2 linked regions of the Drosophila melanogaster genome follow. The protein of the gene in region 2 interacts with the protein of the main gene of each other region in a pairwise test. Each region holds a gene or a part of one and is shown on either strand. Other genes may lie near its edges.

Region 1 (7,736 bases), on a different chromosome or scaffold from region 2:
TATACAATACGTTATTGGTTATTAGAACTCTTTAAAATCTTGAAACAGCAGTATATATTTATCATCATTACATATATCATCTACTTAAGACCCTTCTTTCTATATGATCTTGGTGCTTAGTTAGGCAAGAGACACCAAATTTGGTGTACAGTACTTTATTGGTTTATTATACTCATATAAATCACGAAACATAAGTTTCAAGTGCAATTTATTTTAAAACAACGATTACAATTGTAGGTTATTAAATATAATCGATTTGGACACCTGTTATCTATATGATCTTGGGCCTTATTAAAGCTACTAACACCAAATTTGGTATATAGTACTTAACTGATTAATATAGTATATTAAAAGTGATATTAATTTAAGATCTCATATTGAGTTAACCAATTCTCCATTCTCCATTCTCCAACAGTATTGCTATCTCCTCGTCGCAATGGCCTCACGCCCCGGAACTACGAGGCCGAGGCCGAGGCAGCGGAAATGGAAGCCATTATGGCCGCACAGCAAGCCTCCAACGGAACGACGAAGCCCGATCATGATGAAGGAGATGGCGGGGAGTATCAGGGCGGACCGTTTGGCCGACTGCAGCTGAAGCCGCTGGGCAGCTATGCCACGGACCAGCAGCTGCCCAGCTACTCGTGCGGCGTGTGCGGTGCCAAGTTTCACATCCGATCGCTGCTGGGCGCCCACCGGCACACCCACGACGATGACTTCAAGGTGCGCTTCCGTGCACGGCGACCGCGGGAGAGCAGAACCACCCTGACCACCGTCCATTTGTGCAAGTACTGCGATCGCTCCTTCGACCTGGAACGCACGCTGCACATCCATCTGCTGAGCTACTGCAAGAAGATACCGCCGCAGCAGCGCCGCAAGCTGGCCTTCACGGAACTGGCGCACGAGAAGAAGGCGCCGTTGCCCAACTTTCAGCGGGCGCAGCAGCCGGTTCACCACCAGGGAAACAGTGCCACCAACCAGCAGGATCAGATGACCCAGCAGGAAAAACTTCAGAAGATTATCATGCGCGAGTCGGCAGTGCACGAGCGCTGGCGCTAGTCGTCCTCATTACCAATCTTCACCAGAAACTGGATGCAGAACCAACGCTTGCTTCCAAACACCAGAAGAATCCATTGAAACGAAAGGAAAATTGTCAAGTGCAGGGCGTATGCAGCTCAACTGTATTTGATTTGTTTACCAGGATCATCAAAATTTGTGGAATTGAAGGCAAAATTATTAGAAGTATGAATTGAGCACAATGACACGATTAGTGGGAGACTCACCTGTTCTGAAGACCGAAACACACACTGGCGTTGAATAGTCACATTCCACAAACGACGGTCAATTAAAACTAAATTAAGAGTCCCCAGCACGTTGATGCAAATGTATTGAATATAATTAAATATTTGAACTAAACAGAAGATTTACTTGCAATGAATTGTCATTTCTTAGATACTTGGCGGAAAGGTAAAAGAATCATAATCCATTGAGGCTTTAAAAGCATAATAAGATACTAAAATGGGTATATATATTTTTAAATTTATCGAAAAAATCGATGAGAAATCGCTTCCTCTCTAGTCCACTATCTAATATGTAAAGAAGAATGATATCGATGTATTACAGAAGCGCTTCGATACCCAGCTCGAGCAATCGATACGATAGCTGTGCATCGATACATTCGCTCAATGAAGCTGACTGCACGCACGTCCGTTGCGTCACCGGCGCTACCTTGCCTTACCGTTTACCGTTCACCGTTCACCGTTCCGTTCCGTGCCGAGCTTTGGCGGTCAAGCTCAAAGTTTCTGTGCGCTATCTCTTTCGCGCTTGCGGCGGCGGCGGTGGCGTTGGCGGTAGTGGGTCGTGTGCAGGGAATACAAGATAGGCGATGAGCGGCAACTCGGGCGGATCGAAGCCATCAGTCGATCGCAACAGGTGCTGGTGGTCACAGGCGGGAGCTGCCGGAATCGAACGGAATCTTGTTGGGACTGTCTGTCGTCGGTGGCCTTTGGAGAACATAGAAGAGCACATCTGTCCGCTGTTGTTCATATATAATTTTTTCCGTGCTTTTCGCGACTCTTTGTTTTTTCTGTGTGTTTCTGTGCCTCTGTGCGTTTCCGTGGCCAAGGCGACCAACTTATTCCGGCTCAGCTCCAATAGTCAACCAATATTATACGAAATTCGCCATAGCAAACGGGGACAATGAGGTAAGAGTGGACTAAAGCAACGGTAGATGCAATCGGTGTACAGTGGAGACTCTGTAACTCGAACCGCCAGGATATTTTGGACCATAACCGCCATAATATTGGCTTCGAGTTAAGAGAGTTATTGCAGTATACAACTAATTTAATAAGCCCATATTGATATTTAAAAGTGCGGTAGACCTTGAGACAGTGAAATCACAATTAACTTCGCTAACTGTGAAAATTCTAATGAATGTCTCACCTGTGCAAATTCGATGCGAAACCAAAACACGGTTTTCAAATTGGACACAAATCTTTAATTTGCAATGGCTTAAAATGCAGCCTAATAGAGAAATTATTACTCGTGGAGCTTTTTTTTTTGTTTTTTTTTATAATAACTTTTGGTTCCGCTAGTAAGCCCAGTTTCAAAGTTTTACACGTTTTTGCCACCACAAAATCGAACCGAACAGAACCGATTATTATTATTATTATTATTTGTGCACTTGTGTAAATACAAAACGTACAAAAAGCACAACAAATCATTTAGTCACTTTCAGTTATTAGATATTAGACATTTGGCGTTAAGCAAGTTGAAAGATCGAGATCGGTATCTCTGCTCGCCGCAATTAAGTTGCCCCATTATTTTAGCGGCAAGTCGCATAGCATTGCCAACACCCCAGATCGTGTCAGATAAGATATATCGGTAGATCTGCCCATTTGCACGACATCGTTAAGTAATGTGCACACATGTGCTCCCCCTCCCCCTCCCCCCCCATTCGATTGTCCAGCTGAAATGGATACATCCGATTTTCGGTCATCCAACTGGCGCGCTCTTTTTGTGACCGCCTCTGTTGGCCGAATCTCAGGACACCCGAAATGCGTCATATCCATGGCAATGCGTTTGTTCCAAGACAAGTTTATCAAAACTGTCGAATGTGGGCAATTAGCGGGTTTAGCGCTTGATTGCCCCACTTTACGACGCCCCATAAGATATAGTACCGTGTACATGGCTCAGATATGGCTCAGATACGGTCAGCTATAAGGGGCATGAAGTTTATGGCGCCCGCAGAGGAAACACGCGAATTTTTTGAGGACCGTTCATTCAGCGGGGATCATTGACAGCCGGTGCAATTTATGGATATATACAGCGATAAGATTGGGATATCACATGGCAGTGAATTTTTTGTTTTTTTTTTTTTTTGGGGCCTGCGACCCCCACGAAGGCAGTGCCATTGAAATCATTGAAATGCGACTATTATGGTCATAAAATTGATTAGCGAACGGCTATGGAAACTGGTTTCCAGTCGAGGAATCCCCCCGCCGGTATTTTGCATAATTCGTGAGAACCCGCAGCGCAATTATCGCTGGAAATGAGCACTGCACCATACGCTACTACACGTACTCCCCCACTTCATCCACCTGTATCGTCGTAGATCCCATCCGATCCGCACCTGCCGCCAATCGGCCAAGGATGACTTTCGTTCCTCTCGGCAACGTCACTGACTTATCTTCGAGCTCCGCTGCAGACACGATTCGATTTTGATGACGGGGCACATTTGGCGAGGGGAAAAAAAAGCACTGATAAATGGAAATGTGCTGACTGTTTTCTGATTGAAACCGTTTGTACAATGTCGCAGCTGCGATCTTTGGTAATTAAACGATGTCAACATTCCGGAGATCACTAGATATCTTCGCGGAGCAGGAGGCTTTCATCTTGGAAAAAAAAGATGCCATCCGTAACATATTAACTAAAATACATATGTGGTAAGGGTACTTTGCCATATAACAAACAGCAGCACTTGAGTTCCGTGAAAACAGTTTGATCACCTTTTATCAGTTGTTTAAAGATCTCTTCAGAATCAAGTGCATTCGCAAGTGTTTTGAGAATATTTCGGAATTTTTATTTCTCCATCGGTTCAAAGAACATTTCCATAAACTTTTACGGCCAACGGTTTCTCGACTTTGAAATTCCGAAAATGCCCACACTGATAAAGGCGGATAAAGGGGCTATAATCCCGGCCAGCCAGCCGACCAGTTGGCCAATGGCACAATTGCCGATCAATTGGAGGCAGCACAATGCTACCGATGGTAGTAAATCCATTAAAGGTGAAGTAACAAGGAGTGAGAGTGTAGTGCCTGAATGAACCGAATCTTATCGTCGAACGATAACCGCACATAATAATAATAATAATAATAATATGCAGATCCAGTTGGTTTACCATACCGAATGACGGGGCAGAAATGGAGCATTGGATTTGCAAAGCGATGGCCCTTGAGGATCTTAATCTGCAGACGGGACGCGATAATCGATCGTATCGATCGAAATATTTGGGATCGCGAATGTGGAGGACGCATTTTTCGGCGTTACGGCCACTAAATCGAAGTACTTGCGACTTTCCCCCCGTAGAAATCTACGTTAATTATAGAAAATTGCCTGTTAATAGCGCTTGAGTTTTACGATCTCTGTTTGGCATTTTTATGGCACGTTATCGAAGACTTGGGCACTCCACATCCATTGCCGATAAGTCGTCACCCTCGCCCCGGACAGATGGTGGAGGGTATGTCCGGACTCATCCGGTACGTGGACATGACTGCGCCTAAGCGCACCTACGAATATCCCTTTGTCATGGGACACTCCACACAGCGGGGCAATCACTCAACTGCGGCCGTAGATTGTGGATAGCCTTTATAGTGGGCAGCTACTGAATCTGCAGATAGCTGCTTTTCATTCACCTGCTTTCCAGATAGATCGATCGCAATGATTCGGCTAATTTGATTTAACTAGTGCCCTAGTGTCCATGTCCAGAGATTACAATCCAGGCTATCAAGTTGGCAAATAGACCGTTCTATTCTAATCTCACACTTTGTTTACTTCTGGCCATCGTGACCATTATAAATCTTATATAATAACACACATAATTCAAGTATAGCCATTACTTTAGACTCCTATTTAAATTTATGACTTACTCTTAAATATATAGATATTATGCTTTGAAAGTATAATAGTGTATATAAACCAGTTAAGCGCTTCTTTAGTTTTATCTTGTGTAGTAGTAGTATCGTTTCAGTAGAAGATTTGCATCTAGAATTTTCAACTTTAAGAATTACTAACATATTGCGATGAGCTTGTCTACCTTAAGCATGTTCGTAAATCGAAATGTAGGGTATCACCGTGTCGAGGCGGCCTGCCAGCGAGTGACTCGGCGAATTGGCTGTTTTCCGATAGCGGCGTCCAAAATCAAAGCTAATCGACACCGCCGATCCACCACTCCACTCGACCAGGTCCTCCAGCTCTTCAGTTTTGAGGGCCTGGGGCCACTGATGGCGATCGAGATCGCGATCGCATCCGTTGATTGTCTGACTCTAATGAGATTCTCAACTTGCAGGATTGTGTGGAGTAAGAAGCTCTTGCTATGGCTACTGCTGGCTGCCCTCATGGTGACGGCGTTGACTCTGGGCTTGGTCTTCGGTCTGAAGAATCGGGACACGCTGTACATCAGCGGAGCCGTGGTGTCCAATGGCATCGGATGTGCTGCGGTCGGCGGTGAAATGCTGACCGATGGCGGTTCCGCCGTGGATGCAGCCATTGCTACGCTGCTGTGCGAGGGCCTGCTATTGCCGCACTCAATGGGCATTGGCGGTGGCTTCGTGGCCACCATATATACGCGAAGTAGCCGCAAGGTGGAGACGGTGATTGCCAGGGAATCGGCACCGGCGGCCGCGCACAAGGACATGTTCGTGGGCGAGACGTCGATTACGGGCGCCAAATCGGGTGCGGTGCCCGGCGAGATTCTTGGCTACTGGGAGATGCATCGTCGCTATGGCATCCTGCCCTGGAAACGCCTCTTCGAGCCGTCCATTAAGCTGGCCCGCGAGGGTCATGTTGTTTCGCGCTATCTGGCCGCCGCCATCCAATCCAAGCTGGATAACATTAAGGCAGATCCCGGGCTCTCGGCCGTGTTCCTCAACGCAACCGGTGATCCCCACTTGGAGGGCGATTACATGAAGCGTCCCGCGCTGGCCGACACGCTGGAGCGGATTGCCGAGAATGGAGCCAAGGAGTTCTACGATGGCGGCGAGACGGGTCGCAAGTTCGTCGAGGATATCCAGAAGATGGGCGGCATCATTACGGAGCAGGACCTGCGCGATTACACGGTGCGCTGGGAGAGCGATGGACACGTGTCGGCCCATGTGAGTGGCACGTACACGCTCTATTCCACGCCCATGCCCAGCAGCGGACCCGTTCTGGCCTTCATCCTCAACCTGATGGCCGATCTCTATACGGACAATGAGCCGATCTATTGGCAGCGCGTGGTGGAGGCCTTTAAACACGCCTATGGCCAGCGCACCAATCTGGGTGATATGTATGCCGATCCCGTGAGCGCCGCGTCCATCAATGCCACCCTGGAGGAGATGCTCAAGCCGGAGTTCCTGGAGAGCGTAAGGAAGCTGATCCACGACAATAGCACTTCGGAGGACTACCTCTACTATGGCGCCAACTTCACCGTGGAGGAGGACCATGGCACCGCCCACATGAATGTCTTGGCCACCAATGGAGACGCCGTGTCCATCACCAGTACCATCAATAACTAGTAAGTGTTCATAGAATTTCATATTTAGTGTTTAGGGATTTACTAAGGATTACGAACTAAGGATGGGTATTCAGATAGATATTTGGGGATTTATGGAATTCGCAATACACTCAACTCCTAGACAATTTAACTCAGAAAACAATTATTTTGAAATTTATTTTAATTGCAAGCACACGAAAAGTGCTCGCACATTTTTTCCCAGTGTAGAGACACCATTCGGTTTGGCCGAACCTGTGCGCAACCATGTTGGAAGCTAGATGACACTTTTCACCATACCCAACATGTGCGAAGCAACAGCAAGAGTGGTGAGAGTTCTCTCCCACAAACAAAACAGTGCATGTGAGCGGTGCACACACATATATTAACATTCTCCTTTCCCACCATGCTTTTGAATCGAAGCTGCAGGTTCGATTGACAAACACACACATTTGAAAGACAGGGGAAACTCTTGGTTTTTTTTCACCTTGGTGGAGAAACCAATTTGTGTCGCTAGCTACGAAGTTGTTGATACTCAACGAGCTAGCCATCGTTCAGGGTTTTTAATTGACTTGCAAATGCTGCGGATAAAGTAAGCAGGTAAAGGTGTAAGGAGGTCCAAAAATTGTCTATACACATAAAGGCTTACAATGGGCTATCACCGAAAAATCTTTTGTATTTGTGTGTAAATAGTGGTTTAGAATAGCGGTTTTCCCATATACCAATATTATAAGGTCGGGTTTGAGTCTGGACTAAGGCCTAGGAAAGTGCAACTCAAGAGTTCGCGCTTTTTATTAACTTTCATTTGTATATTACCTATATTCACATATAAACCCTTTACAGTTTCGGCTCCAAGGTGGCTTCCACCCAGACGGGAATCATTCTGAACGACGAGATGGACGACTTCTCCACGCCGGGCGTGATCAATGGCTTCGGTGTGCCCGCCTCGCCGGCCAACTACATTTATCCCGGCAAGCGTCCCATGTCCTCG
Region 2 (4,031 bases):
AGGCAAATAATGAGCTAGCTAATCCGGATACCTTATACGGACTGTCACAACGCATCGTGGCCGTGGAAGCGGGTCGCAGCATGCTTCAGCAGTTCAACGTCCTTCAGCACTATCTGAACCACTTGCTGCCCCTTGCAGAGCGTCCAATCCTGGCCAGTTACCTGGACTATAGCGATTATATTGCGGACTTGGCTAAACTCGTTTACACATGCGTCACGTCGCGCGTCATCGATTTGTCATCCATTCTGGCTCAGATGGCCAAGGTCAAATGGGATGTTAATCATGTGATACACCAGCACAGCAACTACAGTGATGTTCTAAATAGGGTGGGAAATGCTAAATAATGCTTAATACACTACACAAACTAACCACATTTATATGCAGAACATACAAAGCTTCGCCATGTGTCTGGAGGAAATTGCCAAGGAGGTTCCAGTGCCCAGCAAGCAAGTGTGGAATTCAATGGCCCATGTGGCCACGCATCTGCTGGTGGAGGGGTACGTTCTTATTTTCTATTTCTCAGAAGGATCTGATTTTACATAGTTATTGTTTATTATGTTATAGGTTCTCCAATGTGAAGAAATGCTCTGCCGGAGGACGAGCGCTTATGCAACTGGATTTTGCGAACTTTATGTCGTTCCTAGAGCTCATATCGAACCAAAAGTACCCACAGCATCGCTCCTATGTGGATGTGTTCATCAAGACCTACTATTTTGCGCCCGAACAGTTCGAGCAATGGATTGAACAGCAGCGTACGGGCGATGAATACTCTCTCAAGCAATTGAACAACCTTATTCATTGTATTTGTGTCAGCGATAAACGCACGCGACAAAGGTTGCTACAGTTGCTTGACGCTGGAATACAAAATGGAATAGCAATGTCAACGACGCCGACAACAACACCGCAGAAGAACAACCACGGATCCGTAGCCGGCTCAAATTTAAGCAGCGTTATCTGAGCTCCCCCGAACGATTATTTAATTGTATTTATTTTGTTATAACCCCAAACTAACTTTGTTAGTAGATCAATCTCATGACATTCTTTACGTGTAATTAACATTCCGTTTAGTTCAAATTAACATTGTGTTTAAGGCTAATGATTCTACCTTAGTTATACAGGCGATCTCCATGAAGTACTTCGTTTCAAATTTAGAATCTCCCAAACCCTCCTTAAGTGCAATCTATCCTATAATCTTTCTAATTGATAATTGGCAATTGGTTTACCATTCACCATGACTTAAGTACCTAGAGAAAACAGACATATATATATATATATGTACACACAAAACACGTATAATTAAGATACCTATTTATTTGTAATATTTATTTGCAGCAGGAAACAGACAAATAATTGTAAAACAACTTAAATGTAAGGGGCAGCGTATCGATTTGATTTGCGCGCCTCCCACGATCACACACCATTAACTATTTAGCAACTGTAACAAAATAACAAAGAATACATATTTTGAGATATGCATATTACAAACAATGCGAATTGTGTCTTATCATCGAGGGCGTGAAAAGCTTGACAAGGCATTTCCCTTCAACTTGGAGCAGTTCCCGCACAATATAAATAAAGCAGCTAAGTCTGATGGGCAACATAATTGAAAGGACATGTGGACAGTGATAACAGGAATAGTTTTATGGGCACCCGTCCTGGTTGCGGGATCCGCTGTGGACTTCATCTTTAGAGCAGCAGCGGAGCACTCGCTCTCAGTAATAATGATTCGTATTGATTATTGTCCGTACAACTGGGCAAAGGATATCTTTGAGAATCAAACCATTCCAGTGGTTGTCCTTTCAGATAGCGAGACTTTTATAAACATTCGGATGTTTTCTCGGCCGCTACACGTAGCTTGCCTGCCTGGACATGAGCTGCAAAAGGACCTGGCGTTACTCGAAAACTTTACGAGTTCGCTAATGGATTTTCCGAGTCAGAAGAAGATTGTCTATATATCAAACAATTTCTCTGATCCAACTAGAATGGACTATATTTTCGAAACGTGCTATCATCGCCGAATTTGGAACATTGTTGGACTTTTAGCTTCAGATGAACATCGTTACTTTTATAGATATCACCTATATCCTAGCTTCCGAACGGAGTATCGCTCTCTTGAATCTTCAACCATATTCGACAAGGATTTTCCCAACATGCACGGTCACCCTCTTACTGTTATGCCCGACCAATGGCTTCCGCGTTCCGTTCTCTACGTGGACAGACGAACGGGTAAGCAAATCCTAGCCGGATCTGTGGGACGCTTCTTTCACGTGCTGTCGTGGAAGCTGAACGCCACGCTGCAGCTGTCCAAGAAGGTGACCACCGGGCGCTTTCTAAATGCCACTGCCCTCAAGGAGCTGAGCGAGAGCTTTTCAGTTGATGTTCCTGCCAGTCTGACGATAATGGAGCGAGTCGAGCAGTTGGCCAGCACAAGCTATCCGATGGAGGTGACCCACGTCTGCCTTATGGTACCGGTGGCCAGAAGAATTCCAATTAAGGATATTTACTTTATCCTGAGCAGTGCTTCCAATATGTTCCTGGCTATTGTTATTGTTTCCAGTTATGGATTGGCTTTGAATCTCCTTCGAAACATGACCCATCGCGATGTGCGTCTGGTGGACTTTGTGCTAAATGATAAAGCTTTACGCGGAATCTTGGGCCAATCCTTCAATTTGCCCTTGTCGAGAAGCTTCTCCACCAGGTTGATATTTCTGATGCTTGGAATAGTGGGTCTTAATGTGAGCAGCATTTTTGGAGCGGGACTGGACACATTAATGGCTCATCCACCACGGCAATTTCAAGCACGAAGTTTCGCTGGTCTGCGTCGCACGAAAATACCATTGGTTACGACCGAGGAAGACTTTCCCACATGGATGAAACTGCGTGTGCCCATGCTGGTGGTCAATGTGAGTGAGTACAATCACTTGAGGAATGGAAGGAACACAAGCAATGCCTACTTCGCCTCCCGACTGTATTGGAATTTGTTCAGTGAGCAGCAGAAGCGCTTCACCCGAGAGCTGTTTATCTACTCCACGGATGACTGCCTGTGGTCCCTGGCGCTGCTCTCTTTCCAATGGCCGCAGAATTCCTTGTTCACAGAGCCCGTCAGCCAACTTATTTTGGAGGTAAATGCCAATGGACTCTATGACTTCTGGGTGGGAATGCACTACTACGACATGACAGCAGCTGGATTGTCCGGTCTGGAGGATCCCAGCCTGCAGTTGAAGGAAAGAGAGCACCCTACCTCGCTAAGGATTGTGGATTTTCAGTGGATGTGGCAGGCGTACGGAACATTTATGGTAATTGCGATTCTGGTATTCTTGCTCGAAGTTTCTTGGCACAGAATCACATCATTATTTGTGTCACTAGTTTATTGATCATTCACATGTTTATTGGAAAACGTGGCCAACTCTGCAACATATCAAGTTTCAAATTTAAATTTTAAAATCACTAACACTTAACAAATTAAAAATTGTGAATTAAAGAAACTAATCATCATCGAGGATTTCGATGGGAGACTTAGATTCGTTTGGATCATCAGAAATGTCCGTGTCGCTTGCAGGATTCTTAAGTTCCTCTATCTCATCTTTGAGGTCTTCTATTTGTTCTTCATACCTTCGGCGTTGAGAGGAAAGCTGTTAAATATATAGTTTATATTATATACTATTATATTATATTGTTATATTTACTAACCATAAATTCTGATTCTCTTTGCGCAATTAGTAATTTTTTCTCGCATTCGTCTTCATATTGCTTCTTGTTGTTTTGGATAATCTCCTGGTAGGTGGCAGTCAGTTCCCTTCGCAGTTTCTCCTCAAGCAGCTGCATTTGCAGCACATGATCGTACTTCAGTTGCTCAATCTCTAACTGCAGGCGCACGTTTTCGTCCTCAAGTTCCTTGGTGTAGTCGCCGCCCTCGCACGTCGACATCTTTGAGAATTCCATGAAACCACAGTAGCTGACGCGATGCTGTTTAATTACGGGCTCCTTGAAGATGATGTTCTTGGCGATGGAAGCAAAGTTCAAGACGTTCA

Evidence for each region. Proteins that work in one complex are often made in the same cells at the same time.
Region 1: the proteins of Ir54a (region 2) and Ggt-1 interact in a two-hybrid assay, tested with the Drosophila melanogaster proteins (one large-scale study listed by BioGRID).

What each region holds. Positions count from the first base shown.
Region 1 is NC_004354.4:18,506,509-18,514,244, reverse strand, and holds the start of Ggt-1 (gamma-glutamyl transpeptidase), read left to right. Parts: upstream 1-1,723; 5' UTR 1,724-2,196; coding exon 2,197-2,201; intron 2,202-5,563; coding exon 5,564-6,769; intron 6,770-7,588; coding exon 7,589-7,736. Other genes in the region: CG6470 (uncharacterized protein), read left to right, coding at 416-1,056.
Region 2 is NT_033778.4:17,742,488-17,746,518, forward strand, and holds Ir54a (ionotropic receptor 54a), read left to right. Parts: upstream 1-1,613; coding exon 1,614-3,374; 3' UTR 3,375-3,485; downstream 3,486-4,031. Other genes in the region: Vps50 (vacuolar protein sorting 50), read left to right, coding at 3-326, 385-497, 565-958; sub (subito), read right to left, coding at 3,486-3,632, 3,691-4,031.